4 linked regions of the Stegostoma tigrinum genome follow. The protein of the gene in region 1 interacts with the protein of each later gene in a pairwise test. Links are inferred from orthologs where the notes say so. Each region holds a gene or a part of one and is shown on either strand. Other genes may lie near its edges.

Region 1 (8,139 bases):
TGGAAATATCCTCCCCAGTTCACACAGATCTCAATAGTACCAAAAGTCCATTATATTGGAGGAATTAAAAAAGCCTCTTTTTTAAAAAAGGGAAGAGAATTTTTAGATCAAAACAGCAATTACTGCCTTTAATTTTCGATAGCTTCTCAGACATACACATCCATTTGATGGAAACCTAGATTTAGAAGTGAGAGTTTGGGCATGGTCCACAGTGTTTACATTTCTTAATGATCTCAGTCCATTTAAATAGCGCTCACTCCAATTGCTAAGATTTTATTGTAAACAGACCTCACCATCACCTTCTTCTGCTCTTTTACCCTAATGGCACTTAATTCTCTTCCCCCCCGCCAAAAAAAACAAAACCGAGCTAGACCAGAGGGGAGGAGCAGGGACTAACTCATTACCATGCTCAAGATTAGTAAGACTTTCACTTCCGTGGAATATGTTGCGCTCCATTGTTTTGTTTTAAAAAGAGAACAGATTCCTAAACCGATCCTTAACTCATTTGTCCCTGGGGAGGGGAGGGCAGAGAGAGAGAGAGAGAGAGAGAGAGAGAGACAGACACAGAGACTGAGGGAAAGATTTGGCAAATTGGAAGTTTTTGGTCCCGCTTAATAAAAAAAAGGTGGTAAATGAGAAGGAGAGAATTTTGCCAACACTGTTTCATTATATCATTGATGGATGGCAAACAAAAGATTTTTGAGGGGTGGGTGAATAATAAACGTTGGAATCAATCTTAAAGCCGTTTCTTTCTCTCTCGCTCCTGGTTCAATGGGTCCAGAGCGCCCCTGCGGATAACCACCCTCCGGAATTACAATGCAAATAAATGTCCCCAGTTCAGGCTTTTTTTAAAAAAAGCTATTTCTTTATAAAGAACTGGAGCTCGGAACCAATTTGATTCCCACTCCCTTCTTAGATGTAGCTGTAAGGCTGAAGAGATACTGACATTTTTCCACTCTTATCAGTTTAATTACAGTTTCCATGGCAGCAAAGTGCTGGTGCTTGGCAAAGGCCAATGAGATTTTGCGACGGCCACCCCAATTTCTGATGCAGCCAGCATACAAAACACACAGTAAAGAGAAAAGCCCACTCTCATCGCTAACATGCTCAATTTAATGTCTTTTTCTCCCCCCCTTTCTCTACCCCGCGAGAAGAATGGTTTGAATAATGCGAAGAGAGCCATTTACAGATGACAACACTTTTGACAGAAAAAAGGAATCCTTCAGAAAGCACTAAAATAAAAAATCATGCAAGTCACAGAAGGCGTCACGCTGCTTGTATAGGTGGAAAAGGCAGAGAGATTCTTATTCCACAAACCTCTGAAGAACTCGGCTTTGTGCAGAATCGCAGACACACACACATACAATAGCATCGAGAATCACGTTCGCCGCCTTACCATAAAATAACTTTCCTCCCCTTTTTTGCATCGGTGTGTGTACGTTTTTTTTTAGAAGAGGGGGAGGGGGGGGGTGCTTGGTAGGGTGACCAGGTCTCTAGCAGTTTCTTGCTGGAAGAGCCGGTTCCTTCCCCGTCAGGGTGAACTGGCGACGATGAGCGAGTACACCGAGCCAGGTCATTGTTGACACCGACAAAGACACACGCTTTACAAACGTACCGCACGTTTCCAATCATCAGCCTGACACTTCGAGGCAGTTAGTGTGAATGCGGAATGACAGCCCCACACTTTTTTGGTAGGGGGTGGGGGAAGGAATTTACTTGTAACCCCCCCCCCCTTGCAGTGGCAAGAGCTCCCCCACACAAAAAAAAAACTTTTTGTATTTTTTTTCCATTAACAAGAATCCCAGAAAATATCTAACCAGAGGAAACTTACCTTAGCCTCAAAAAAACAAATAAGTCCCCTACAGAAGGGCGCAGTGACAACGCAGAAAGTTCAAATCATTCAGAAATATAAAACGCACACTCTACAAAAGCAAAACACAGCCCAGAGTAGCCGGGAAATAGCCAGAGGGATACTCTTTCCACTTACCGTCTCTATTCAACATGAAAAAGAAACCCTCTCCAAAATATGTTCAGAATACAGCGTGTACTTTCTTCCAACGCAAGGTCAACACACGGAATGCACTTGAATCGTTAAAAGAAAGTTTTAAAGATAATGAGATCCCCAAGGAACTGCCAGTAATCGAGTTGATCACAACGGAGCTACAGGTGTTCCGTCTGGGTATCTGCAGTGTAACCTTTCCCTGCGACGAATGATGGAGGACAACTTACCTATCAGCTTATAAGAATTGTCCTAAACGAATTCAGCCTCATCATCTGCAAATTCAATCCTTCGCCAGCGAGACACACAATGCAGTAAAAGGTCATTCAATTATTAGCGAGGTAGCGCGGCTGCCGCCACACACACACACAGACGCGCACACACACACTCGACAAGGCACACGGCAGCGCTCCCCCAGACTTCGATATTACCACACGCACACACTCTGCTGTCGACCCAAGTCCAGCTATAGCCCTGGGATGAATCCTGTCTCAATGGCTAATTTCCCCATGGTGAAAATTTAGGAACAGCCGCAAGCTTTTGGTTAGTCAGAACCACACACACACACACAAGCCGTTCTCAGGGAGGGGTGTGTATAAAAAAAGCTAGAAAACCAACCTCTTGAGTGCGTCCAGTTTCAGAGACTGCGGATTAATGAGAGCTTTCTTATTGATTTAACCGTTTCACAAAAAAAGTGTAGTAGAGCCGAGTTGTGGTTCCCCCTCCCCGTTTCACAAAAAAACCTTCTCTACTGTTTAGCCCTTTACAACTATGAGATATCAACGCCTTTTGTTAGCCAATACATGCACACATACAGAGCAGCGAGTGAGACAAAATCAAAACAAATAGAACAGCTAATGAGGACAATTAAATTAATTATGTTCAAGGAGATGAGTTTTTTTTTAAAAATCTGTATGATCTGCTATCCCTCGTTTGCAAGGACTGCTCTGTAATTCATGGCAAATGATTAGGGCATCTATGCAAATCTTTGTTTAAATCATTCAACTAATTAAATGATAGGATTATTCTTCTGCCTACAGTGACATCATTTCCCAGTAATTAGTACTCTATTTAGACTGTAGCAATAGATTCTTAATAGCACCAGCGAGTTGCAGACGTTTAACCATTTTCTCACGCGTCTGAGAAACTGTCCAAAACCCCGGTTCTATATTGTACTTTTACCTCCTCGGAGGTGAATAATACGCCCCAACTTCATTTGAAGAGAAAACACATAGGAATCAATAGTTAACATTCAGCTCCATGCTACTCATTTCTCTCATTCCCACCCCCACCCACTACACAAAATGTAATGATAATAAGATGGGTCATAAAATGCTCCTCTTTTCATTATGACTGATGAAATGCATTAAAACTGACAGGGTATTACCTGACAGTAATTAGGTTTTGTCATGAATTAAATTATTTGAATGCGGACTATCTTCCCAATCGTGCAATTTTCAGGGAATTTTTTAAGTCAGAAGAGACAGAAAATAGCATTTCCCCCCTCTCTTCATAATCATATGAATTATTCACAGAATCATCACAAACCATACAGTTGAAGAGGCCCACCACTTAGTGCATTGCACAGATGTGATCAGCAGTGATGACTAGCAATGAAATACTAGGGGACACACACGCACAGTGATTTGGTGAACAAGAGGTGGAATTTAATCATCAATTGATATTCACATATTAAAAAAACAAACACTAATTCATAATCTCCACAAAATCCTCCCTTCTTTTCATTTTCAAACATAAATTTTTGCATTTACTCCCTCTGTCAAGCCAGAAGGGAGTTTTAATGTAGGCGAGCATTTTCTTTCACTGTGGGCAAATTAAGTGCTAAATTGAAAACTCTCAAGAAACCCCTTTTAAAAAGAACTAAAACAAAGTAGCTATTTCTTATATTTAAAAAAAATGTTCCAGCCCAAACTGATTCTCAAAAATATATTGCAACCTTTCCATTCATCAACTAAGGCAGTTTATCCCCTATTTCACAAGCACCCTTTAAAATCAAATTCAACACAGAAGACTGTAATAGATAGAACTCACCTTATTTCAAACCACTGCTGAGCAGGTTTCAAAGAAAAAGATCCGTCAAGTTTTCACTTTTTTAAAAAACTGCTTTGCACTAATGCGTTGTTTTGAGTTCTTTCCTTTTCCTCAAAAGGAGATCAAACAGAAATCCTATATTCACAAATAGAAACACTAAACAGTGTTGTTGAGGCAAGAATTAAGTGTTAGGCTGTTTCTTCCTCTTCTGAAAATAAAACTCTGATTCCGGGGAAGACAGAGAGAGAGCAAATTTCTTTTCATGGGGATGATGGCAGAACCAGTTAGTTGTTCCTTCTAACCGCGACAGCAGGGATGAAAGGGCCACCTGTCTCTCTCTTCTCAAGCTGAGCACAAAACCTGAGTGGGCCAGCTTCTTTTCCTCCAGTATTTAAGCACCTCACCAGGTCCCTAGTTAGCAGCTTCCTTCAGCTCATCCAAGAAGCTGACAAGTACTGTTAGAGGAGGCTGTACATGTTGCTCTAATGGACCTCATTAAGTTCTACTTACAGATGTTCTCTTAACATAATTGATCTGTGGTGAGTTGAGAGGACTGAAACTTATTCCCCAGCCCCCAATTACGGTTGGGTAATTAGATCCCCAACCTCCAATTTTTCACATTCACCCTTCTAACATTCCAAAATATCAAAGTATCTCTTTCTCACAAAGCCCCCCTTACTGGACTCCACTCGCTCATAGTATTGACAGTTAGATCTGCTAACCTTTGTAGTGACGCCAGATTTAATAGCACATTCAGTTCACTGACAGAGCTCCGTCTTTTTTTCCTCTCCCCCTTTGCTTCCTTTTTATTCTACTCTGATAACAAAGGGGAAGAGAAACTAACTTTGTATGGTTTGTACTTTTTGATAAAAGCTACTAATGATCAGCCGTGGCAGGGGAAATTCTGTTTTAATGTCTTTTTTCAAAATCTGTTTTAATTCCTCAGATAGGAACTTTAAGGAGCAATGAAGGAGAGAGGTGCTGCTCTGAAACAGTGAGGGAAAAATACTGCACACCTGGGACAGATGAAGCCAAACTACTGCTTTTATAATGCCAATCAGCAACGCTGTTATCATCCTGCTAATTAGGAAAGCAGCCTAAAACAGAGAGCACTTTGGGAAATGGTAATACTATGGTTTTGCACTTAAAAGGGTAGAAATTTCCTGTACTGTAGAATTGTGGATTGGCTTTGACAATCCTTTAACTAATGGATAAGGTTTACTGTGCACTTCTCCTCTGAAACAAAGAATTTGCCAAAGGAACTTTGATGGTCTCGAGGGAGTCAAAGGTCACATCACATCACAAAATTGGTGGAATGAATTTTCGAGATGAGGGAAACAAATTCTATACACACTAATGCAGCAGTACTTTGCCAAAAGTGAACACTTGTCTGTATTTATTGCCGGTCTGAGGGTTCAAGGCACTCTAAGAATATTAGGAAGGGCTCTGAGGAAGGGTCACTCAACCTAAAATGTTAACTCTGGTTTCTCTTCACAGAAGCTGTCAGACCTGCTGAGCTTTTCCAGTAATTTATGTCTTTGTTTCTGATTTACAGCATCTGCAGTTCTTTTGGTTTTTACTAAGAATATTAGGGGCAATTAAATGTTATGGTTTGTTAAGGGCTCCTTAATGTAATTGTGGGTGAACCCATGTAGCCTTTGTGCAGGATTGTCAAAGACTGAATATAATCCTCCTGGTTATAGTGAACATAACAGAGAGAAACATTTCAAAGTTTCACCACTTCAACAAGAGAAATGAATAATGTGGAGGTATGCTTCAAGGTTCTAAGACTGCCGGGAATGTTGCAAGAGGAGAAGAGGTCAACTCAGGTACAAAGAGGCTTAGGAAATGTGCAATGCACAACTGCTCAAGGTCAATGCAAAGTAAATAGACTCCCTGCGCATCATGGAGGTATGGTGATGAGCAGACTTGGAATCACATTTTGGGTTAGCACAGATGCAGTGACTGAGTTATGCTTGGTGATCTGAGAGAAGCTATAAGGACATTTATTGAGATAACACGGTGTGAAGCTGGATGAACACAGCAGGCAGAGCAGCATCAGAGGAGCAGGAAAGCTTGACATTTCGAGTCGGGGCTGTTCTCCAGCATTGGCAGTTCCTACTATCTCAGGACATTTATTGATCTGCATTGTCCTGCCCCTGCCAGAAGTAGGGGACCAACATCACCTAACTTCGTAGATAATGTTAGAAAGGTTTCCACACTCAACCATTTTCGTGTGTAATGTTCCACGATGAGCTTGTCTGAAGCCTTGTATCATCACAACCTAGCTACACTCATTTCAGCAAGCAAAATCCTTGCCTTCTCCAAAACGGGTGGCATCTTCAAAACATGCACACTATATAAACAGCCACAAGAATACAAACCACCTGATGTTTGCTGGGTTGAAATTTCTAAGAGTGGGCAGGAGCTCTGAGAGGAACACTATCTGACAGCTCTTTTTTTAAACATGTCCATAGTCAGTGTGGCCAACAGTATTTAGCTCCCTGATAATAAAATGTGAGGCTGGATGAACACAGCAGGCCCAGCAGCATCTCAGGAGCACAAAAGCTGACGTTTCGGGCCTAGACCCTTCATCAGACCCTTCTCTCTGATGAAGGGTCTAGGCCCGAAATGTCAGCTTTTGTGCTCCTGAGATGCTGCTGGGCCTGCTGTGTTCATCCAGCGTCACATTTTATTATCTTGGATTCTCCAGCATCTGCAGTTCCCATTATCACTGATACAGTATTTAGCACCCTGTCAAGTTCAGAATACAGCAACAGAGACTGCATTGCAGAATTATGCTGGCTTCCTGCATACGGGGAAGACATTGGAAGGACAAGAAGGAGGGAGCAGCATAGAGATGGTGGGTAATATAATGGGCAGGGGTCAGAGAGACATTGGGCTCACATTTCTGGGGTAGGGGGTGATGTGGGCAATGACCATTGGCAGCTTCATCATGGGTGAGGGCCTCTAATTGAAAGGGGGGATCATTAGACAGGCTTTCCTGGAGTTCTATGATGGAGGGGAGCACTCCTGTTCCTCCTGGAAAGACAAGTTTGATTCCTCAGCAAGTAAGATTTCCCTCCATTAGTTTCCAGATTTCTAGCGCTCATCATATTGAATGGTGGAGCAGGCCCAAAGAGGTGAATGGCCTATTCCTATTTTCTAAGTTCTCAAGTTTCGATCCTTTAATGTTTTCCAGGCTGCAGGAACAGTGGGTAATCAAGAAGGCAAATGGTATCTTGGCCTTCATAGCATGAGGATTCAAGTATTTTTAAAAATTTTATTCATTAACAGAATGAAGATGTTGCTGGTATTTATTGTCCAGAGGGCAGTTCAGAGTCAACCACATTGCTGGGAGTCTGGAGTCACATGTAGGCCAGACCAGGTAAGGATGGCAGTTACTTTCCCTAAAGTACATTAGTGAACCAGATGGGTTTTTTCCTGACAATCGATTCATGGTCATCATTAGGTTCTCAATTCCAGATTTTTTAAATTGAATTCAGACTGAAGAGAGACAGGATTGGTTAGGACTGTGTTCATTAGAGTTTAGAAGAATGTGGTGTGTGATTTCTCATTGAAAACTATAACATTCAAACAGGACTAGACAAAGTAAATGCAGGATGAATGTTTGCAATGATTGGGGAGTCCAAAACCAGGGGCCACGTTCTAAGGATATGGGATAGATCATTTAAGACTGAAGTGAGGAGAAATTTCTTCACCCAGAGAGTGTTGAGCCTGTGGAATTCTCTGCCACAGAAAGTGGTTGTGACAAAATATTGACTGTTTTCAAAAAGGAGCCAGATATGGTTCTGAGGGCGAAAGGGATCAAAGACTATCTGGAGAAAGAAGGAACAATGTACTTAATTGGCTGATCATCCTTGATCATACTGAATGACAGAATGGAATCAAAAAGCCAACTAGTCTGCCCCGCTCCAATTTTCTGTGTTTCTACTAACTTAGGAAATCTGTCTGGGGGGTCAACATAAAAGCTGGGGGTGTCTGAGGTAGGCAGCTTCATTAAAATATTTAAGTGAGACCTGAATACTGTGAGGAGTTTGTTTCCCCATGACCTTGCCCCTGCTTTG
Region 2 (7,314 bases), about 39 Mb from region 1:
AATGTGGTATACTGCATCCACTGTACCCGGTGCGGCTTCCTCTACATTGGGGAAACCAAGCGGAGGCTTGGGGACCGCTTTGCAGAACACCTCCGCTCAGTTCGCAACAAACAACTGCACCTCCCAGTCGCAAACCATTTCCACTCCCCCTCCCATTCTCTTTATGACATGTCCATCATGGGCCTCCTGCACTGCCACAATGATGCCACCCGAAGGTTGCAGGAACAGCAACTCATATTCCGCCTGGGAACCCTGCAGCCATATGGTATCAATGTGGACTTCACCAGTTTCAAAATCTCCCCTTCCCCTACTGCATCCCTAAACCAGCCCAGTTCATCCCCTCCCCCCACTGCACCACACAACCAGCCCAGCTCTTCCCCCCCACCCACTGCATCCCAAAACCAGTCCAACCTGTCTCTGCCTCCCTAACCGGTTCTTCCTCTCACCCATCCCTTCCTCCCACCCCAAGCCGCACCCCCAGCTACCTACTAACCTCATCCCACCTCCTTGACCTGTCCGTCTTCCCTGGACTGACCTATCCCCTCCCTACCTCCCCACCTACACCCTCTCCACCTATCTTCTTTACTCTCCATCTTCGGTCCGCCTCCCCCTCTCTCCCTGTTTATTCCAGTTCCCTCCCCCCATCCCCCACTCTGATGAAGGGTCTAGGCCCGAAACGTCAGCTTTTGTGCTCCTGAGATGCTGCTTGGCCTGCTGTGTTCATCCAGCCTCACGTTTTATTGCTTAATATGTAATCCCCCTTGTCCCCACAACGCATCATCCTCCGACACTTCCGCCACCTGCAGTCCGACCCCACCACCCAAGAAATTTTTCCATCCCCACCCTTCTCTGCTTTCCAGAGAGACCACTCTCTCCGTGACTCCCTTGTCCGCTCCACACTCCCCTCCAACCCCACCACACCAGGCACCTTTCCCTACAACCGCAGGAAGTGCTACACTTGCCCCCACACCTCCTCCCTCACCCCCATCCCAAGCCAAGATGACTTTCCACATTAAGCAGATGTTCACCTGCACGTCTGCCAAAGTGGTATACTGTATCCACTTTGCCCGGTGTGGCTTCCTCTACATTGGGGAAACCAAGTGGAGGCTTGGGGACCACTTTGCAGAACACCTCCGCTCGGTTTGCAATAAGCAACTGTACCGGGTGGCACGGTGGCTGAGTGGTTAGCACTGTAGCCTCACAGTGCCAGGGACCCGGGTTCAATTCCAGCCTTAGGGGACTGTCTGTGTGGAGTTTGCACGTTCTTTCCGTGTCTGCATGGGTCTCCTCCCACAGTCCAAAGATGTGCAGGTCAGGTGGATTGGCTGTGCTAAATTGCCCATAGTGTTCAGGGGTGTGTGGGTTATTTGGGGATGGGTCTGGGTGGGATGTTCCAAGGGGTGGTGTGGACTTGTCGGGCCAAAGGGCTTGTTTCGACACTGTAGGGAATCTAATCTGAAAACCTCCCAGTCGCAAACCATTTTAACCCCCCCCTCCCATTCCTCAGACGACATGTCCATCATGGGCCTCCTGCAGTGCCACAGTGATGCCACCCGAAGGTTGCAGGAACAGCAACTCATATTCCGCTTGGGAACCCTGCGGCCCAATGATATCAATGTGGATTTCACTAGCTTCAAAATCTCCCCTCCCCCACTGCAACCCAAAACCAGCCCAGTTCGTACCCTCCTCCCTAACCTGTTCTTCCTCTCACCTATCCCCTCCTCCCACCTCAAGTTGCACCTCCTTTTCCCAACTACCAACCTCATCCCGCCTCCTTGACCTATCCCCTCCCCAACTATACTCTCCTCTCCACCTATCTTCTTTTCTCTCCATTTTCAGTCCGCCTCCCCCTCTCTCCCTATTTATTCCAGAAGCCTCTCCCCATCCCCCTCTCTGGAGGAGGATCTAGGCCCGAAACGTCAGCTTTTGTGCTCCTGAGATACTGCTTGGCCTGCTGTGTTCATCCAGCTCCACACTTTGTTGTCTCATATTCAAGACTGTGATTTGAAATTAGGGCAGAACTCAATTCTCCACCCCAACGAACCACACATGCCAGCATCGCACATGCCTCCCCCGCTGACCCCCAAAATCAGCGCAACTACACCCTGACCATCAAACTTAGCGCTCTCTCCCTCACCCCTGGGGACCAGCTCTCCCACTTCTGGCGTCTGCTCACTCCCGGGGCCGGCTCTCTCTCTACCTCCCCCCAACCCCGGGGGCCTGCTCTTCACCTCACACCCCCCCAGGGGCCTGCTTTCCAGCCTTGCCCCTACTTCTCCTCACACCCCACCCCTTCCCCTCAACGTCCCCCTCCATGCCTCCTGAGGGCTGGCAACGTCCCCCGCCATCCTCTCACCCCTCCCACAGGGAATGGCTCTCCCACCCCCTTACCCTCACCTCCGGGGCCAGGTGTCCTCTCCCTCTCCCCCTCCCCACTGGGGCCAGGTGTCCTCCTCCCTCCTCTCTCACCCCCACCCCCCTGGGGGCCAGCTATACCCCCACCTCTCCCTCACCCCCCCGGGGCCGGTTGTCTCCTCCCCGCCCCCACCCCCAGGGGCCGGCTGTTCTCCCTCACCCCCCGGGGCCCGGCTGTTCTCCTCCCCCTCCCCCCGGGGCCGGCTGTTCTCCTCCCCCCGGGGCCGGCTGTTCTCCTCCCCCTCCCCAGGGCCGGCTGTTCTCCTCCCCCTCCCCACCCCCACGGGGCCGGCTGTTCTCCTCCCCCTCCCCACCCCCCCGGGGCCGGCTGTTCTCCTCCCCCTCCCCACCCCCCCGGGGCCGGCTGTTCTCCTCCCCCTCCCCACCCCCACGGGGCCGGCTGTTCTCCTCCCCACCCCCACGGGGCCCGGCTGTTCTCCTCCTCCTCCTCCCCTTCCCCACCCCCCGGGGCCGGCTGTTCTCCTCCCCCACCCCCCGGGGCCGGCTGTTCTCCCTCACCCCCGGGGCCCGGCTTTCCTCCAGGAGCCGTCGTTTCCTCTCGATCTCCGCCTTCAGCTGCTCCATCCGCGCGGCCGCCGCCACAACAACGTCGTCACGTCCGGGTCAGAGGGCGAGGCGCCGGAAACCCGCCGCCGCACCACAGCGACGGCGCGGCCTAGCCGTCGATTAGACCAAATCCGCCCTCACCTTCCCCCCCCCCGAAGTAATCCAAGCCGCGGAACACCGCCAAATAACTTCAAAAGGATTCGCACATTTAAATAACTATAGACCCTATACTAAAAGTAAATATTTCATAAATAATTTTATATTACTCCACGTTTTAACAAATCATAAGAATTGGTAACTCCATTTCTCTGTCCAGAGCAGCTCCTGTTTATATTTTATTGCCTTTGAGAAGCTGCTTCCTTGAACCACAGCAATCCGTTTTCAATGGATGCAACTCTCTGAGAATCCATTCCCAAAGTTTGCTATCAACTGAGGATAAACTGGTTTTCCAGTTTCTCCTTCCCTCGTTTTAAACTTTTAGAAGACACAATTCCAAACTGTCGAGAGTTTAGGAGCAATTTATGAATAATCCATCTGCAATATCCTTATCTACTGTTTTTAAAAGCATGCAATGGGAACCATCAGATATGGAGATTTGCCGCACAATTCCTCAGACAGTACTGACTTCAGGGGTGGAGGATGTAGTGTTTCCCTCATGCAGAAAGGAGTCTCCCCCTTGGTGGAATGTCCTCCCCTGTTACACGAGGAGCGCGCCCATTAGGGAGCATGGAGTGTCCCCCTCGTGGAGGATGTAGTCTCTCCCCGGCGGAGTGTCCCCCTCGTGGAGGATGTAGTCTCTCCCCGGCGGAGTGTCCCCCTCGTGGAGGATGTAGTCTCTCCCCGGCGGAGTGTCCCCCTCGTGGAGGATGTAGTCTCTCCCCGGCGGAGTGTCCCCCTCGTGGAGGATGTAGTCTCTCCCCGGCGGAGTGTCCCCCTCGTGGAGGATGTAGTCTCTCCCCGGCGGAGTGTCCCCCTCGTGGAGGATGTAGTCTCTCCCCGGCGGAGTGTCCCCCTCGTGGAGGATGTAGTCTCTCCCCGGCGGAGTGTCCCCCTCGTGGAGGATGTAGTCTCTCCCCGGCGGAGTGTCCCCCTCGTGGAGGATGTAGTCTCTCCCCGGTGGAGCGTCCCCCTGGCGGAGTGTGAAGTGTCTCCCCGGTGGAGCGTCCCCCTGGCGGAGTGTGAAGTGTCTCCCTGGCGGAGCGTCCCCCTGGCGGAGTGTGAAGTGTCTCCCTGGCGGAGGGTCCCCCTGGCGGAGTGTGCAGTGTCTCCCTGGCGGAGTGTAAAGTGTCTCCCTGGCGGAGTGTAAAGTGTCCCCCTGGCGGAGTGTGCAGTGTCCCCCTGGCGGAGTGTGAAGTGTCTCCCGGATGAAGGGTCCCCCCCGGGTGGAGTCCTTTTCCTCCTGAGGGCGGTCGGCGGTCGGTCGCGGCTCCCTCTCCCGCTGATTGCCGGCGCCTGGTCTCCGGGAAAGTGAAGCGGCGGCTCGGGCAGACGGTGGGGTGAGCCGGTCCCCGGACGAGTGTGGGAGTTGCGGCGGGATCGATGGAAGTCACCGAGTGGAAAAGGAGCAGGAAAACGCGGAGCTTTAGGAGAGCGAATGAAGGTGAGAGAGCGCGGCCTGGACCAACATTAAACCATTTACCAAGGAAACAGTAACCAACAAGCCCATTAACCAGGGAAACATAACCCAGCCGCACCATCAACCTGGGGAACAATAACCAGCAAAGCCATTAACTACCGAAACATCAAGCAGTAAAATCCTTAACCAGAAAAACATTAACCAAAAAAAAACCCGCCAACCTGGGAACATAGCGAGATAAATCTTTAACCAGGGGAATACTAACCAGCATAAGTCACCAACTAGTTATCACAGATTGAGGAAGGGGACATCTAAATTTGAAATTAGATTTATTGCAGAAGTTAGGAGCTTCCTTTTTCTAATAGTAACTGGGATCTGGTTTTGTGATCGTTTTCAGCAGTTTGCGCCTTTGCCTGTGCTAATCTTCACTGTACCTCACTCAATTTCTACTGTGGGTGTGAAGCAAACTCAATTTCCCGAGGAATGAGCTTAATATCGCAGCTTGAGCAGCCACCAGACAGAGAGGCTCTGATTGAGGATTTATTACAATCCCTGAGTCAATCAAAATGTGAATTCTTCCTGATTAAAATTACATCTGGAAAACACCACAAATCAGTGGTAAAGGTGAACTCAAGGTATTTGGGCAGGTATGTGAATAGGAAAGGTTTAGAGGGATATGGGCCAACTGTAGGCAGATGGGACTAGGTCAGTTTATGAACCCTTGTCAGGATTGGATGAGTGAGACCAAAGTGTCCATTTCTGAACTTTTAACCTGGCTTTTAAACACAGGTTGACGGAACGCACAAACCAGATTCTGTACTTGACAAGAACTATTTGTTTATTACAAGTAAATATAATTACTGTTTATTAATGTAAGTAGATTTGAACTACAGAAACAATTATGAACCATCAACAGATCACTCTACCAGTTAAAATTCAAATGCATTTGTAAACTCCCCTCGTCACATGTACAGAGACAAACAAACAGAGACAAAAAATGGTGTTATGGATGGAAGGAAAGACTGGCAGGTGGTTCATAGTCATAGAGGTGTACAGCATGGAAACAGAACTTTTGGTCCACTTGGCCGTACCAACCAGATACCCTAAATAATCTAGTCCCATTTGCCAGCATTTGGCCCAAATCCCTCTGAAACCCTTTCTATCCATGTACCCATCCAGTTGCCTTTTAAATAATTTACAATTGTACCAGCCTCCTCCACTTCCTCTGGCAGCTCATTTCTAGACAGGGACCACCCTCTATGTGGAAAAGGTTGCCCCTTAGGTCCCTTTTAAATCTTTCCTGTCTCCCCTTAAACCAATTCTCTTTAGTTCTGGATTCCCCTACTCTGGGGAAAAGAGCTTGGCTATTCACCCTACCAATGCCCCTCATGATTATACATATGGTTATAAGGTCATCCCTCAGTATCCGATGCTCCAGGGACAATAGCCCCAGCCCATTCAGTCTCTCCCTATAGCTCAATCCCTCCAAACCTGGCAACATCCTGGCTCAAGATAATAAAATGTGAGGCTGGATGAACACAGCAGGCCCAGCAGCATCTCAGGAGCACAAAAGCTGACGTTTTGGGCCTAGACGCTTCATCAGAGAGGGGGATGGGGTGAGGGTTCTGGAATAAATAGGGAGACAGGGGGAGGCGGATCGAAGATGGAGAGAAAAGAAGATAGGTAGGGAGGGGATAGGTCAGTCCAGGGAAGACGGACAGGTCAAGGAGGTGAGGATGAGGTTAGTAGGTAGGAGCTGGAGGTGTGCCTTGGGGTGGGAGGAAGGGATGCGTGAGAGGAAGAACAGGTTAGGGAGGCAGAGACAGGTTGGACTGGTTTTGGGATGCAGTGGGTGGAGGGGAAGAGCTGGGCTGGTTGTGTGGTGCAGTGGGGGGAGGGGACGAACTGGACTGGTTTAGGGATGCGGTGGGGGAAGGGAAGATTTTGAAGCTGGTGAAGTGCACATTGATACCATTGGGCTGCAGGGTTCCCAAGCGGAATATGAGTTGCTGTTCCTGCAACCTTCGGGTGGCATCATTGTGGCACTGCAGGAGGCTCATGATGGACATGTCATCTAAAGAATGGGAGGGGGAGTGGAAATGGTTTGCGACTGGGAGGTGCAGTTGTTTGTTGTGAACTGAGCGGAGGTGTTCTGAAAGCTGTCCCCAAGCCTCCGCTTGGTTTCCCCAATGTAGAGGAAGCCACACCGGGCACAGTGGATACAGTTTACCACATTGTCAGATGTGCAGGTGAACCTCTGCTTAATATGGACAGTCATCTTGGGGCCTGGGATAGGGGTGAGGGAGGAGGTGTGGGGACAAGTGTAGCATTTCCTGCGGTTGCAGGGGAAGGTGCCGGGTGTGGTGGGGTTGGAGGGCAGTGTGGAGCGAACAAGGGAGTCACGGAGAGAGTGGTCTCTCCGGAAAGCAGACAAGGGTGGGGATGGAAAAATGTCTTGGGTGGTGGGTTCGGATTGTAGATGGCGGAAACCTGGTTCAGAGGTCTCTCAGCAGGGTTTGCTGTGCTGATCCTTTTACTGATCAGAAAGGTGCTTTTTAATCTTCTTTCTCCAGGTACTTCCGCTTGGTTGCAGGAGTCACAGGGTGAGTGGTTCAACTTATAAATATTGCTGACTTATTAATTAAAGGTTGCAGCTTACAGCAATGGTTAAGGGGAAATAAACAGCCTGAGATGGTTTTACTGCATAACAAAAACAGCTCTTTCCTGCCCATAAGTGCGATGGCTTCTGACCCAAC
Region 3 (8,054 bases), on another chromosome or scaffold:
CCAACCACTCCATCAATCGATCACAATGCTGTGCACTTCCTCCCGGCTGACAGACAGAAACTGAAGTGCGAGGGCCCAGTACAGAAAGTAGTGCTGTGCTATTGTGAGGTAATGGAAGGGCTTCTATGGAACTGCTTCGAGTCCATTTTCATAAACGTAGCAACAAGTCTAAAGGAGCACGCCCCTCCTGTTATAGACTTCATTAGTAAATGTGTAGAAGACAGCATGTGGAAGAAGTTAGTTCTAACCTTCTCCAACCAAAAACCCTGGATGAACCAGGAGCTTCGCTCCCTGCTGAAGTGCAGATCGGAGGTGTACAAGTTGGGCAACCCCAGCCTATACAGGAAACCCAGGAATGGCATTCACAAAGACAGCAGAGACGCCAAGAGGCAATACTAAATTCAGCTTGAGACCTAGACCAACCTCATGGACTTTGCCAATGTGGCAAGGCTTACACCATGTAAACTGCTCCAAGCGATATAATTCCAAGTCAGGATGGTGGGTGACTTGGAGGGGGTGGTATTCCCATATGTCTGATGCCCTTGCCCTTCTGGATGGAAGCGGTCGTGCATTTTGAAGGTGCTGTGAGGATCTTTGGTGAATTTCTGCAGTGCATCCTGTAGATGGTACAAACTGCTGCTGAGTGTCGGTGGTGGGGGGAGTGGGATGTTTGTGGATGTGGTGCCAATCAAGCGGCTGCTTTATCCTGGAAGGTGTCAAGCTTCTTGAGTGTTGTTGGGGCTGCACCCATCCAGGCAAGTGGGGAGTATTCCATCACACTCCTGACTTGTGCCTTGTAGATGGTGGACAGGCTTTGGGGAGTCAGGAGGTGAGTTACTCCCGGCAGGGTTCCCAGCTTCTGGCCTGTTCTTGCCGCCCCTGTGTTAATGTGGTGAGTCCAGTTGAGTTTCTGGTCAATGGTAACCCCCAGGATGTTGATGGTGGGGGATTCAGTGATGGTAACACTATAGAATGTCAAGGAGCGGTGATCAGATGGTCTCTTATTGGTGATGGTCATAGCCTGGCAGTTGTGTGGCGTGAATATCACTTTCCCCTTGCCATCCCAAGCCTGGATATTGTCCAGATCATGCTCCTTTTGAACATGGACTGCTTCAGTACCTGAGGAGTCATGAATGGTGCTGAACATTGTGCAATCATCAGCGAACATCCCCACTTCTGACCTTATGACGGAGGGAAGGTCACTGATGAAGCAGCTGAAAATGGATGGGCCGGGGACATTTCCCTGAGGAAGTTGTACCAAAGAAGTCAATCAGAGTGTTCCCCAACTGGAAACCTTGGATGAACCAGGAAATCAACTCCCTACTGAAGACCAGGCATGCAGCATTCAAGTCGGGTGACCTAGACCAATACTGGAAATCCAGATATGACCTCCGCAAAGCCATCAGGGAGGCCAAGAAGCAGTGCCAGACCAAGTCAGAGGCCCAGACCTGCCAAACAGATCCCTGATGTCTATGGCAAAACTTGAACGACTTTACGGGATACAAAATGAAACAGCATAAGATAGCGGACAACGATGCATCCCTCCCTGACATGCTCAATGCTTTCTATGCTCCGTTTGAGCAGAATACCACCAGCATGGCAACTCCTGCCCCAACAGCCTGAGGCACACCTGTTCTGTCTATCGCTCTTCAGAAGTCAGATCAGTCTTCCTGAGAGTCAACCCAAGGAAAATGATGGGCCCAGTTGGTGTCCCCGGTCAAGCATTCAGATCCTGCGCATTCCTGGACATCTTCAACTTCTCCCTCCTACAAGCCGAAGTGCCCACCTGCTTCAAGAAGACCACCATCCCCGTACTAGAGAAAGCACATGCAGTGTGCCTTAATGACTAACGTCCAATAGCTCTGACTTCAATAAACATGAGGTGCTTTGAGATGCTGGTCATGGCCACCATCAAGTCCAAGCTCTCAACCTGCCTCAATCCCCTACAGTCTGCCTACCAACATAACAGATCCACAGAGGATGCCATTTCTCTGGCCCTGCACTCATCCCTGGAACATCTGGATAACAAAGACTCCTGTGTCAGGCACCTGCTCGTTGAGTACAGCCCTGCCTTCAACATCATAATTCCAAACAAACTCATCTCTACCCTCCAAGACCTAGTTCCCAGCTCCCCCCTCTAACTGGATCCTCAACTTCCTGATCCACAGGCCACAATCAGCAAGGATAAACAAAAACACCTCCTCCACAATGGTCCTCAACACTGGTTCCCTACTGTACTCCTTATACATTCATGGCAGCATGTCTTCAAAGTTCTCGATTTTCATCGATGCACCAGAGAAAGCGTCCATCAGGATGCATCAAGACTTTGTACAGCAACTGCTCTTCCTAAAACTACAAGAAACTAGAGAGTTGTGAACACAGCCCAGACCTGCACACAAACCAGCCTTCCTTACACTAACGCCGCCTATATTTCCGCACTGCCCCAGGTAAACAGCCCACTTAATCAAAGATCCCTCCCACCCTGGTTATAGTTTCTGCCACCCTCTTCCATTGGGCAGGAGGTATAAAAATTTGAATACACGTATAAACAGATCAAGAACAGCTTCTGCCTTGGTGATAGCAGGCTTTTAAACGAATATCTCCAATGTTAGTTCTGATCTCGTTCTCTCTGCACTTTATCTGTGACTGTCATACTGTATTCTGCACTCTGTTCTGGCAGCCTGATGCACTTGGTACGGAACGATCTGGATATATCGCGCACTAAACAGCACTTTGCACTGTACCTCGATACGTGACAATAAATTAAATCAAAACCCACACATTAACCTTAAGAGAATCCTGAATGGAGACTCCCAAGCCCCCTTGTGCATCAGATTCCCAACGCCTTTCCCCATTGCCGACTCTCCCAACATGCCCAACTACTTAATAAAAACTGAAAGAACTGCGGATGGTGTAAATCAGGAAGAAAAAACCAGCCAGCTTGCCTGTAGCAGTTCTGACGAAGCGTCACCGGACTCAAAACATTAACTCGGTTTTTTTCCTTCACAAATGCTCTCTCTCTATCTATATCGATCCCAGTCTCTCTCTCTCTCTATCCCAATCACCCTCTCTCTCTCACTATCCCAATCTCCCTTTCCCTTGCTATCACAGTCACTCTCTCTCTCTCTCCCTATCCCAGTCTCTCTCTCTGTCTCTCTGTCTCTCTCTCTCTCTAACCCAGTCTTTCTCTCTCTCTCTCTATCCCAGTCGCACTCTCTCTCTCTCTCTCTCTATCCCAGTCTCTCTCTCTCTCTCTCTCTCTAACCCAGTCTCTCTCTCTATCCCAGTCGCGCTCTCTCTCTCTCTCTCTCTCTCTCTCTCTCTATCCCAGTCGCGCTCCCTCTCTCTCTACCCCAGTCTCTCTCTCTCTCTATCCCAGTGTCTCTCTCTCTCTCTCTCTCTCTCTATCCCTCTATCCCAGTCTCTCTCTCACTCTCTATCCCAGTCGCGCTCTCTCTCTCTCTATCCCAGTAGCGCTCATCCTCTCTCTCTCTCTCTCTCTCAGTTGCGCTCATCCTCTATCTATCCCAGTCGCCCTCTGTGTCTCTCTCTCTATCCCAGTCGCTCTCTCTCTCTCTCTCTCTCTATCCCAGTCTCTCTCTCTCTCTATCCCTCTACCCCAGTCTCTCTCTCTCTCTCTATCCCAGTCGCTCTCGCTCTCTCACTCTATCCTAGTCGCTGTCTCTCTCTCTATGCCACTCGCGCTCTCACTATCTCTATCACAGTCGCTCTGTCTCTCTCTCTATCCCAGTCTCTCTCTCTCTCTCTATCGCAGTCGCGCTCTCTCTCTCTCTCTCTCTATCCCAGTAGCGTTCATCCTCTCTCTCTCTCAGTTGCGCTCATCCCCTCTCTCTCTATCCCAGTCTCTCTCTCTCTCTATCCCAGTCCCTCTCTCTCTCTCTATCCCAGTTGCGCTCCCTCTCTCTCTACCCCAGTCTCTCTCTATCTCTCTCTCTAACCCACTCTCTCTCTCTCTCTATCCCAGTCTCTCTCTCTCTCTCTCTCTATCCCAGTCTCTCTCTCACTCTCTATTCCAGTCGCGCTCTCTCTCGCTCTCTATCCCAGTCGGGCTCTCTCTCTCTCTATCCCAGTAGCGCTCATCCTCTCTCTCTCTCTCAGTTGCGCTCATCCTCTCTCTATCCCAGTCGCCCTCTGTGTCTCTCTCTCTATCCCAGTCGCTCTCTCTCTCTCTCTATCCCTCTATCCCAGTCTCTCTCTCTCTCTCTCTATCCCTCGACCCCAGTCTCTCTCTCTCTCTCTCTATCCCAGTCGCTCTCGCTCTCTCACTCTATCCCAGTCGCTGTCTCTCTCTCTATGCCAGTCACACTCTCACTAACTCTATCACAGTCGCTCTGTCTCTCTCTCTATGCCAGTCGCGCTCTCACTAACTCTATCACAGTCGCTCTGTCTCTCTCTCTATGCCAGTCGCGCTCTCACTAACTCTATCACAGTCGCTCTGTCTCTCTCTCTATCCCAGTCTCTCTCTCTCTCTCTATCACAGTCGCGTACTCTCTCTCTCTCTATCCCAGTCGCGTTCTCTCTCTCTATCCCAGTCGCTCTCACTCTCTCTCTCTCTATCCCAGTCTCTCTCTCTCTCTCTCTCTCTCTCTATCCCAGTCGCGCTCTCTCTCTATCCCATTCGCTCTCTCCCTCTCTCTCTATCCCAGTCACGCTCTCTCTCTCTCTCTATATCCCAGTCTCTCTCTCTCTATCCCAGTCGCGCTCTCTCTCTATCCCATTCGCTCTCACCCTCTCTCTCTATCCCAGTCACGCTCTCTCTCTCTCTCTATATCTCAGTCTCTCTCTCTCTATCCCAGTCGCTCTCGCTCTCTGACTCTATCTCAGTCGCTCTCTCTCTCACTCTCTCGCTCTCTCTATTCCAGTCGCGCGCTCTCTCTCTCAGTCTCTATTCCAGGCACGCTCTCTCTCTCTCTCTATCCCAGGCGCACGCGCTCTCTCTCTCTCTCTCTATCCCAGTCTCTCTCTCTCTCTCTATACCTCTACACCAGTCTCCCTCTCTCTCTCTCTATATCCCAGTCGCTCTCGCTCTCTCACTCTATCCCAGTTGCTGTCTCTCTCTCTCTCTATCCCAGTCTCTCTCTCTCTCTCTCTCTCTCTATCCCAGTCTCTCTCTCTCTCTCTATCCCAGTCGCGCTCTCTCTCTATCCCATTCGCTCTCTCCCTCTCTCTCTATCCCAGTCACGCTCTCTCTCTCTCTCTCTCTATATCCCAGTCTCTCTCTCTCTCTCTCTCTATCCCAGTCGCTCTCGCTCTCTGGCTCTATCCCAGTCGCTCTCTCTCTCTCTCTCTCGCTCTCTCTATTCCAGTCGCGCGCTCTCTCTCTCAGTCTCTATTCCAGGCACGCTCTCTCTCTCTCTATCCCAGGCGCACGCGCTCTCTCTCTCTCTCTATCCCAGTCGCGCTGTCTCTCTCTCTCTATCCCAGTCGCGCTCTCTCTCTCTCTCTATCCCAGTCTCTCTCTCTGTATCACAGTCACTCGCTCTCTCTCTCTATCCCAGTCGTGCTCTCTCTCTCTCTATCCCAGTCGCGCGCTCTCTCTCCCTCTATCCCAGTCACGCTCTCTCTCTCTCTCTCTCTCTATCCCAGTCGCGCGCTCTCTCTATCCCATTCGCTCTCTCTCTCTCTCTCTAATCCAGTCACGCTCTCTCACAATCTCTATATCCCAGTCTCTCTCTCTCTCTCACTCTCTCTATCCCAGTCGCCCTCTGTGTCTCTCTCTCTATCCCAGTCGCGCTCTCTCTCTCTCTCTATCCCTCTATCCCAGTCTCTCTCTCTCTCTATCCCTCTACCCCAGTCTCTCTCTCTCTCTATCCCAGTCGCTCTCGCTCTCTCACTCTATCCCAGTCGCTGTCTCTCTCTCTATGCCAGTCGCACTCTCACTAACTCTATCACAGTCGCTCTGTCTCTCTCTCTATCCCAGTCTCTCTCTCTCTCTCTCTATCACAGTCGCGTTCTCTCTCTCTCTCTATCCCAGTCGCGCTCTCTCTCTCTATCCGTCGCTCTCACTCTCTCTCTCTACCCCAGTCTCTCTCTCTCTCTATCCCAGTCGCTCTCGCTCTCTGACTCTATCCCAGTCGCTCTCTCTCTCTCTCTCTATTCCAGTCACGCGCTCTCTCTCTCAGTCTCTATCCCAGTCACGCTCTCTCTCTCTCTCTATATCCCAGTCTCTCTCTCTCTCTCTCTCTCTATCCCAGTCGCTCTCGCTCTCTGACTCTATCCCAGTCGCTCTCGCTCTCTCTCTCTATTCCAGTCACGCGCTCTCTCTCTCAGTCTCTATTCCAGGCATGCTCTCTCTCTCTCTATCCCAGGCGCACACGTTCTCTCTCTCTCTCTATCCCAGTCACGCTCTCTCTCTCTCTCTCTATCCCAGTTGCCCTGTCTCTCTCTCTCTATCCCAGTCGCTCTCTCTCTCTCTCTATCCCTCTATCCCAGTCTCTCTCTCTCTCTATCCCTCTACCCCAGTCTCTCTCTCTCTCTCTCTATCCCTCTATCCCAGTCTCTCTCTCTCTCTATCCCTCTACCCCAGTCTCTCTCTCTCTCTCTCTATCACAGTCGCTCTGTCTCTCTCTCTATGCCAGTCGCACTCTCTCTCTCTATCACAGTCGCGTTCTCTCTCTCTCTCTCTATCCCAGTCACGCTCTCTCTCTCTATCCCAGTCGCGCTGTCTCTCTCTCTCTATCCCAGTCGCGCTCTCTCTCTCTCTATCCCAGTCTCTCTCTCTGTATCACAGTCACTCGCTCTCTCTCTCTATCCCAGTCGCGCTCTCTCTCTCTCTATCCCAGTCGCGCGCTCTCTCTCTCTCTATCCCAGTCTCTCTCTCTCTCTCTCCCATTCGCCCTCTGTGTCTCTCTCTCTATCCCAGTCGCTCTCGCTCTCTCACTCTATCCCAGTCGCTGTCTCTCTCTCTATGCCAGTCGCGCTCTCACTATCTCTATCACAGTCGCTCTGTCTCTCTCTCTATCCCAGTCTCTCTCTCTCTCTCTCTCTATCACAGTCGCGCTCTCTCTCTCTCTCTCTCTCTCTATCCCAGTAGCGCTCATCCTCTCTCTATCCCAGTCTCTCTCTCTCTCTATCCCAGTCCCTCTCTCTCTCTCTATCCCAGTTGCGCTCCCTCTCTCTCTACCCCAGTCTCTCTCTCTAACCCAGTCTCTCTCTCTCTCTATCCCAGTCTCTCTCTCTCTCTCTATCCCAGTCTCTCTCTCTCTCTCTATTCCAGTCGCGCTCTCTCTCTCTCTCTCGCTCTCTATCCCAGTCGGGCTCTCTCTCTCTCTATCCCAGTAGCGCTCATCCTCTCTCTCTCTCTCAGTTGCGCTCATCCTCTCTCTATCCCAGTCGCCCTCTGTGTCTCTCTCTCTATCCCAGTCGCTCTCTCTCTCTCTCTATCCCTCTATCCCAGTCTCTCTCTCTCTCTATCCCTCTACCCCAGTCTCTCTCTCTCTCTCTCTCTATCCCAGTCGCTCTCGCTCTCTCACTCTATCCCAGTCGCTGTCTCTCTCTCTATCCCAGTCGCTCTCGCTCTCTCACTCTATCCCAGTCGCTGTCTCTCTCTCTATCCCAGTCTCTCTCTCTCTCTCTCTCTCTATCACAGTCGCGCGCTCTCTCTCTCTCTCTCTATCCCAGTAGCGCTCATCCTCTCTCTCTCTCAGTTGCGCTCATCCCCTCTCTCTCTATCCCAGTCTCTCTCTCTCTCTATCCCAGTCCCTCTCTCTCTCTATCCCAGTCCCTCTCTCTCTCTCTCTCTATCCCAGTTGCGCTCCCTCTCTCTCTACCCCAGTCTCTCTCTATCTCTATCTCTAACCCAGTCTCTCTCTCTCTCTATCCCAGTCTCTCTCTCTCTCTCTCTCTCTCTCTCTCTCTCTCTATCCCAGTCTCTCTCTCACTCTCTATCCCAGTCGGGCTCTCTCTCTCTCTATCCCAGTTGTGCTCATCCTCTCTCTATCCCAGTCGCCCTGTGTCTCTCTCTCTATCCCAGTCGCTCTCTCTCTCTATCCCTCTATCCCAGTCTCTCTCTCTCTCTATCCCTCGACCCCAGT
Region 4 (8,230 bases), on another chromosome or scaffold:
AGATTGTAAAATGTTGGGGCCTGAGGACCAAATACTGTGGCATATAACTAATTACATATTGTCAACCAGAAAAATATCCATTTATCCCAACTCACTGCTTTGTTGGTTAACTAATCCTCTATCCAAATGACTAAATTATTCCTCACCCCATGTAGTCTAATCTTGTGTATGTAAGCTTCTGTGCAGTGTCTATCAAAAGGCTTCTGGAAGTCCAAATAGACGACCTCTACAAGATCCTCGTTATCTATATTATTACATCTTCAATGAACTCCTGCAAATTAGTCAAACATAATTCCCTTCATAAAACCATGCTGTCTCTGATGGAATGTATTTTTACCTTCCAAATATCCTGTTATTTATTACTCCCATAATAATGGGATATAGCAAGTTCCTAATGACACATTAAACTGACTAGTCTGTAGTTTCCTACTTTCTGCCTCCCTCCAGTTTTGAATAAGGATGCTATACTAACAATTTTTCGAATCCACTAGAGGCTTTTCTGCATTCAGAGAATTTTGGAATATTATAACCAATGGATCTATAATATCTGCTGTCACTTCCATTAAGACCCTGGGATGTTCGCTTATAATTGCACAATGTTGAGGACCGTTCATGACTCCTCAGATACTGAAACAGTCCATGTTCAAATGCAACAAGATCTGGATGATATCCAGGCTTGGGCTGACAGTGGCAAATTACATCCATGCCGCACAAACATTAAGCTGTGATCATCACCAAAAATAAATGATCTAACCACTTCCCTTGAATTCAATGGTGTTACCATCACTGTCAACATTCTCAAGGTTACCATTGACCAGAAACTCAATCGGAACCATCACATAAACACGATGGCAACAAAAGCAGCTCAGAGCCAGAAATACTGTAGTGAGTAACCGATCACCTGACTTCCCAAAGCCTGTTCACCATCTCAAAGGCACAAATCAGGAGTGTGATGGAATACTCCCCACTTGTCTGGATTGGTGCAGCTCCAATAACACCAATTGACATTATCCAGAACAAAGCATCCTGCTTCATAGGTACCACATGCACAAAATATCCACTCCCTCCACCACGAATGCTTAGTAGCAGCATTGTGTATTATCTACAAATGCACTTCAGAAATTCAAAGATTATTGTTATCCAAAGTTCCTCAGATTGCACATTCCAAACCCACAATCACTTCCATCTGAAAGGACTAGGACAGCATATACCTGGGAGCACCACCACCCACAAGTTCCCTCCAAGCCACTCACCATTATAACTTGGAAATACTTTGCCATTGCTTTGTTGTCACAGGGTCAAAATCTTGGAATTCCCACCCCAAAGGCATTGTAGGTCAACCGACAGCAGCAGTTCATGAAGGCAGCTCACCACCACCTTCTCAAGAGCAACTAGGGCCTGGCAACAAATAATGCCTAACCATTTCTGAAGGGGCTAGGCCGGAAATATCAATTTTCCTGCTCTTCTGATGCTGCTTGGCCTGCTGTGTTCATCTAACTCTACATCTTGTTACTGCTTTGCCATTGCCCACGTGCCATGAATGGATTAAAAAAAAGTCAGTCAGGCCCTGTGACTTATTTGCCTTCAATCCCAAATAGTTTACTCAGTACTTTTTCCCCTAATTATTCCTCTCTTTTCAGAACCTCTGCAATACCTATCACTATTGGGATTGTACCAGCGTCCCCATTATGAAAACTGAAACAAAGTATTAATTTAGTGACTCTGCCATTTCTGTGTTCCCCACTATTTACCATCCAGTCTAATCCTCCAAAGGACCAACATTCACTCCAACTACTCTCTTCCCTTTTATATACTTCTAGAAGGCTTTATGCTAGTTTTCCTACATAATTTACATTTGCTCTTTTTATTACTTTTTTGGTTATCCTTTGTTGATCTTTAAAAGTTTCCCAATCTCCCAGCCTGCCACTCACTTTGGCAATACGATACACCTTCACTTTTGTCTTGATTTTATCTTTAAGTTCCTTGCTTAGCCTTCAGTTTTCTCCCTCCCCCACCAGCCCTTACAATATTTCTTTTCTGGAATATATTTTGTTTGGTAGCAATTGAGTATCTCCCTAATGAGCTGAATACAAATAGTTTTCTGGGAAAGGGTGTGTCCTTTCAGATTGGTCTCAACTGTTACTTAGGTATGAACTACATCAAGGAACCTTTGACTTCTAGAAAGACTCAGCAATAAAGTGAATGAAACTGTAAACTGGATTGTCGTGGCACCATAAATTGCACCATATATTTGCAGCATTGGTTCAGATAGTTTAAAAGACATAGAAAAAATGATCAATAATTAAATACCATTCTTGTGGACATGAGAACCCAAATTGAATGAGCCCCACACCCTGCTTGTTTGATTCCCTCTCCAATATGTGATCAATTTGAAGGTCATAGTTGTAATGGCAGACCTTGATACAGAAAAAAAACCTCTTAAATCCAACATTTTGTGCTTTATGGTTCTTACTATTGTCAACAAAAGGGGAACAGAGTCAATAGAATGGACTAACAAAAGACTGTGGAATTGTGAACTTGGAACTTGCTGAAATTTCTACAGTGCAAGGTAACTACAGACAACAGAGCTACTAAATTATTTAGAAGAATATGCCCCAACCTGCATAGTACAGAGAGATTAGGTGTGTTCCAGGCCAAAATCCAGGTTTGTGCTGTTACTGGAGTGGTAGTGAAAGGTTGTAATTGGACTGGTGCAATGGGTAAGGGAAATAAATCAGCAGGATTCCCACCCTTCATCACAGCCCAGTGACTTCAGCTGCAAAATGCATGATCAGCTGGGGTAAAGGCCCTGTATAGCAACACTCACTATTTGGTCTCACGCATGAGGAATACCTGTAACCATACGGAGAAGGCGGACTAGGTTCTAGTGTGCTTTATTTCAACAAACACCACATTCTGCAACAGGAGGGTACAATATCACAGGAACAAAAGTGAAACATACACATTTTTATAAAAGAGCTGTTTACAGCCATTATGAGTGCCCATGATTTCCTGAAAGTGCTGCTGCACATAACTAAGGTATCCAACTGACTAAAAGTTGATATCTAGAAACCCATCCCATTCAGATTTTCCTGGAACACTTACCAAAGGAGGAGTTTTACCATCTGAAGGTATTGTCTCATTGGTTTTGTTCCACTAGCATATCTCTTTCAGAGCCTGGAGCTTAAACTGCAGCGAGTCCAAATTGCTTCTGATCGTTTCACTCCCGTACCCGGAGAATTCTGTCCGCCTACCTCTGCTTTACTTTACCATAAAAGGAAAATGAATTCCTGGGGCATTAGTGCAGCAAACAGGAAGTTGCTCCTTAATCTACCCACTCCTTACAGACTTGTTTCCATCCAGTCACACACTGCTGTCATATGTGTGTATATATAATAAAGTAATTCTAAGATAAGATTAATTTCTTTGGAAGTTGGTTGGCAAATGACATGACTGACAAGAAGCAGCCTGTTCTGCTGCTAGGCTTGCAAACTACATCAACTTTATTAGATTATTATGTAAGAATTTTTCCTTTCCCAATTTAGTCTTGTGTGGTTAATTTTATTTAGAGGGGAGGAAAAATTAGAGCTAAACTATTTGAAAAGAAACCTTCCACCCACCCCCCAGAACCCCTTTCCTTTAAATTAGCTAACAGCTGGGGTTACAACGAGAAACATTGTTAACCCTTTGCATTCTGGAAGCACTTACTTGCCAGCTTTTTGTTTTAAAACTGACCATAGTTTTTTGATAAATTTCCAAAGTCAAGACTTATCGCGGTGGGGGGGGGGTCATCTCTGCTGACTGTCTACTCCCTCCTGCTGTTATGTTTTGCCTGACTGTCATTGGAGAGCTGGTTTCCATCAATGCTGTCAATTCCTTCAGAGAGAGGTGGGTATTGCAGGGGATATGGTGCTTTATTTTCCCCTCCAACTCTGTTTTGAATTATAATGTTTCTGGTCTCCCAGAGGGCCCCCCCCCCTTCCACTTTTGATGGTTTGCATTGCCCTTAATAGGCTTTGCTCATGAATACCTAAAGGAGGAACAGGTGGAGACTAGCAATGTAGTAGGAGCTATGAGACTATGTAGTTAATAAACTCTCTTCACAAAGAAAAGTGTCTTAGTTTGGTTTTCACTGATGGGATTTGATAGTTCTAGGGAATTTACTTCCCCACAGAGTGATGGAGGTTGGGTCTTTTGAATATTTTTAAGATTGACTTCCTTATTAGTTCAGAATCTCCCAAAGGGTGTTGACATAGGAAGGAAAGAGGAGCAGAAGGTGCATTTACATCAGTCATGATCTTAGCAAATGACAGAGCAAATCTGAAGGTCTGAGTGGCTTACACCAGTTCCTGCGTAATTGATTTTTCTTTTCATTCAAACATGGGATGAGAGCATCACTGGCTAGGCCACCATTCATTACCCATCCCTAATTGCCCAGAGGGCAGTTAAGAATCAGCCACATTGCAGTGGGTCTGGAGTATCCCTTAGGCCAGACCAAATAAGGATGACCGTTTCCTTTACCCAAAAAAACATGAGTGAACAAAATGGGTTTTTCTGACCATCGACAATGGTTTCATGGTCATCATTAGACTTGTAATTCTAGATTTTTAAAAAAATGTATTGAATTCAAGTTCCACCATCTTGTTTTACATCTCTCCTGATTTCTTAAGTGGAAGTGAGGTGAGCAGAAATGTAAAATGGGCTAGCAAAGTTCATCATTGCTTTGTTCACACCCTCACAAAGTCAAAATGACCCCTGAATAACTTTATTTTGCTACATTTAAGATAATCAGCAAGGAATAAGAAAGGTATTAGAATGGCCATCTCCAATTTTCTGACTAGGCTGTCTGAGCCATCTGTCCAAGCTCTTATCAGCGTTCTCACCATATTCCCCCACCAACACACAGCAGCCACCCACCTCTATAAATGAACAGAAACAGGAGATTGTGATATAGAAAGTTCCCCAAGTCCTATTCATGCATTCCAGTGGCAAAGGTACAGAGACAAGTCTGTTGAAAATGTGCTCCTGGGCCAGAGTAGCTGCAGCTTGCATTGTGCATCGCAGGAGATCCTGAGCTGTTTCCTGAAGCCTGGTGCGTGGCAGTGCCCCTCCCGTTGGTAGACCAAATGCCAGGCTGATGCTGGTGCCCAGAGTGGTGTGTGCTACAACCTTACAACAGGCTGGCTGGTTCCAATTGTAAAGAGCTGCCACTGGCTGCAGGTTCTCAAATTTGGTTTGTTTTGCACCTGTTAACCTGTTTTGCACCTAATAGTTTGAACATCCCTGATGAAGTTTTTGGTTTTTTTTAACTGAAAGTGTTTTGGAATCTCATCTGTTTGTCTTGTCTGGAATTCAGTGAGCTCTGTAGCTGGTGGGCAGAGGGTGCAAAAATAGCATCGCTACTGCCTGCAATCTGACTTGGATTGTACATGCTGGTCTTTAGTGCCTCTATGTGAATATTATATTAATCGAATGATTTGGAGAAAAATGGCAGCAATGTGAGCCCACTGGCTTGGCCTCCTATGAATCAGAAGGTTTACAGTGCTGAAGGAGGCCATTTGGCCTGTTGTGCCTGCAACACTTATTAAGAGTCATTACCATAAAACCATAAGACATAGGAGTGGAAGTAAGGCCATTCGGCCCATCAAATCCACCCTGCCATTTAAATCATGGCTGACGGGCATTTCAACTCCACTTCCCTGCACTCTCCCCATAGCCCTTGATTCCTTCTGAGATCAAGAATTTGTCGATCTCTGCCTTGAAGGCATCTAATGTCCCGGCCTCCACTGCACTCCATGGCAATGAATTCCACAAGCCCACCACTCTCTGGCTTAAGAAATGTCGTCTCATTTCAGTTTTAAATTTACGCCCTCTAATTTTAAGGCTGTGCCCACGGGTCCTAGTCTCCCCGCCTAACGGAAGCAACTTCCTGGTGTCCACCCCTTCTAAACCATACATTATCTTGTAAGTTTCTATTAGATCTCCCCTCAACCTTCTAAGCTCTAATAAGTACAATCCCACAATCCTTAGCCGTTCATCATACGTTAAACCTACCATTCCAGGGATCATCCGTGTGAATTTCCGCTGGACACGCTCCAGGGCCAGTATGTCCTTCCTGAGGTATGGGGCCCAAAATTGGACACAGTGCCAATTGGATCTAGTGCCAATTTCCTACACTTTAACCCACACCTTTGTAGATTACTTTTATCCACATAATCATCCTATGCCTTCTTGAATGTCTCAATTGATCCTGTCTTCGCCACAATTGTGGATAGTGCATTTCCATGTCCTAACTACTTGCTATGGGGGAAAAAAGGTATATTTTCCACTTTAGCCTTAATTCTTTTGCAGATCTCTTTAAATCCAGGTCTCTTGTTCTTATTCCTTTTACAAGTGGGAACAGTTTCCTTGGATCTGTTCCACCCGGCCTGCTCAGGATTTTGAAGATCAGTCTGTATGTTTTCAGGGTTAGGCCTCATCTAAATGAATGTGACCTATTATGTGTAATCTACAACGAGTAAGGCTTTCCCTGTCTTCATGTTTCTGTCTTTCAAATCAGGTCAAAATGCTACATTGATGAAAGCCTGACCAATCTTTTCAGCTTTTGCCAGGCCTGACTGACTTCTGTTTCTTTCTTTATCTCCCCTTCTTCAAAGGCTGTGCTTGCTTCTGCCTCTGCTCAGGGCTGGATCAGGTTTTTGGGTGCGATTTACATTCTTCTCAGCTCATAATTTATGCATGCATGGGTAAAGCTCCTATTTTTAGGGGCAGGAGGATTCCAGTCCCCCTCCCCAGTGTGTCGTCTTGTCTCAAAGTCCGGATACCATGTTTAAAAGGCACCTGGATAGCATTTTATTCTCTGCAACGGATGAGTGTGACTCAACTTCTCATCACTCCAATGACTCTGAGAGATGTCAGAATCCAGGCAAATAATGGTAGCACACATTAGCAATACCTATCAATAGGTTCTCTTGAAAGCGGTCCAGCAGAGAAAGGTTAGGGTTAGGGTTAGGGTTAGGAATGGCATCTCAAGGCTCAATACATTCTGGACAAAGATGGCTGTGGAAGTTAGTGCCCATAAGTGGCTCAAGAACGTGACTCCAATGCTAAGTAAGCATGAATGATGTACTGTGACGTCCCAAGATTTGTGCCACTATCTACTCAATGCTTCATGCCATTGAGAGTGAGAGTTAGCATAGTAAGATCACTGTAGCAGGTGAATGTCACACTACAGATCGGGCATCCAGTGGAGACGTAGCACCTAATGAATGTCTGTCACTTATTGTCACTACTGATGTAGCACTACTTGTCCCATTGTGTTATTGCCTTGCATATCTGCTAAGGTTCACAATTAAAACACAAAAGAAGCAACAGTACTCAGCAGCTCACTGACATTTATTATATGTGTATGTTCTCTTGGCTATAAATAGACATAAGGCTCCTAAACCCCTCCTTGGAGCAGACTTGAGCTCAAGGAAGGCCAAATGAAATTAGTTTATGCTGATGGGGACATTGGAGGCTTTCTCACTAAATAACTATTAATATCCAATCTGCTAGTTCCAGCTGCATATAGGAACAGGAGGCCATTCAACCCAGTGAATCTGTACCACCACTTGGGGTTGATCATCTCAGTGTCACTTTTCCATCTAGAACCAACATCTTAATACAACCTTGTACAAGGGTTGCAGCTTGCAACACTGACAAATGTTTATGTTTAACTATGCAGCCTCTATATCCTACTCTGAAGTCATCCAAAATGGTAACTCTGCTTTGTCTCCACAGATGCTGTCAGACCTGCTGAGTTTTTCAGGCAATTTCTGCTTTTGTTTCTAATTTCCAGCATCCACATTTCTTTGGTTGTTTTGCCTAGAATTGATTGTGTTCTGTGACATTGTTATTGTGCAGCCCCTTTCATTGTCTGCCCTTCAATGCGTTCTCTAACTGTGGGCAATGCTTGCTGTTGCACTGATGTGATATACCCTTATCAAGGATCTGGATGTGAGTTTGCTTGCTGAGCTGGAAGGTTCATTTTCAGACGTTTCGTCACCATTCTAGGTAACATCATCAGTGAGCCTCCAACAAAGCACTGGTGTTATGTCCGGCTTTCTATTTATCTGGCTAGGTTTCCTTGGGCTGGTGATGTCATTTCCTGCGTTGGTGATGTCATTGCCTGTTCTTTTTCTCAGGGGATGGTAGATTGGCTCCAAATCAATGTGTTTGTTGATGGAGT

The links.
Region 2: the proteins of lmo3 (region 1) and bend7 interact in binary tests that used the Homo sapiens proteins (3 or more experiments, as listed by UniProt). The two-hybrid records come from large-scale screens. The link is inferred for Stegostoma tigrinum from reciprocal best matches to the Homo sapiens genes LMO3 and BEND7.
Region 3: the proteins of lmo3 (region 1) and G patch domain-containing protein 2-like interact in binary tests that used the Homo sapiens proteins (3 or more experiments, as listed by UniProt). The link is inferred for Stegostoma tigrinum from reciprocal best matches to the Homo sapiens genes LMO3 and GPATCH2L.
Region 4: the proteins of lmo3 (region 1) and filamin-binding LIM protein 1-like interact in binary tests that used the Homo sapiens proteins (3 or more experiments, as listed by UniProt). The two-hybrid records come from large-scale screens. The link is inferred for Stegostoma tigrinum from reciprocal best matches to the Homo sapiens genes LMO3 and FBLIM1.

Annotation. Positions count from the first base shown.
Region 1 is NC_081378.1:43,081,381-43,089,519, forward strand, and holds the start of lmo3 (LIM domain only protein 3), read right to left. Parts: upstream 3,263-8,139; 5' UTR 3,252-3,262; coding exon 3,182-3,251; intron 2,971-3,181; exon of another isoform or gene 2,618-2,970; intron 2,554-2,617; exon of another isoform or gene 2,230-2,553; intron 2,197-2,229; exon of another isoform or gene 2,004-2,196; coding exon of another isoform or gene 1,988-2,003; intron 1,627-1,987; exon of another isoform or gene 1,428-1,626; coding exon of another isoform or gene 1,397-1,427; exon of another isoform or gene 1,373-1,396; coding exon of another isoform or gene 1,318-1,372; intron 427-1,317; exon of another isoform or gene 405-426; intron 179-404; exon of another isoform or gene 1-178.
Region 2 is NC_081378.1:4,517,530-4,524,843, forward strand, and holds the start of bend7 (BEN domain-containing protein 7), read left to right. Parts: upstream 1-4,308; 5' UTR 4,309-4,521; coding exon 4,522-4,582; intron 4,583-7,314. Other genes in the region: prpf18 (pre-mRNA-splicing factor 18), read right to left, coding at 2,935-3,000.
Region 3 is NC_081363.1:1,723,668-1,731,721, forward strand, and holds the start of G patch domain-containing protein 2-like, read right to left. Parts: upstream 3,255-8,054; 5' UTR 2,946-3,254; intron 1-2,945.
Region 4 is NC_081381.1:31,882,624-31,890,853, reverse strand, and holds the start of filamin-binding LIM protein 1-like, read right to left. Parts: upstream 3,286-8,230; 5' UTR 3,106-3,285; intron 1-3,105. UniProt on the Homo sapiens protein: Serves as an anchoring site for cell-ECM adhesion proteins and filamin-containing actin filaments. Is implicated in cell shape modulation (spreading) and motility.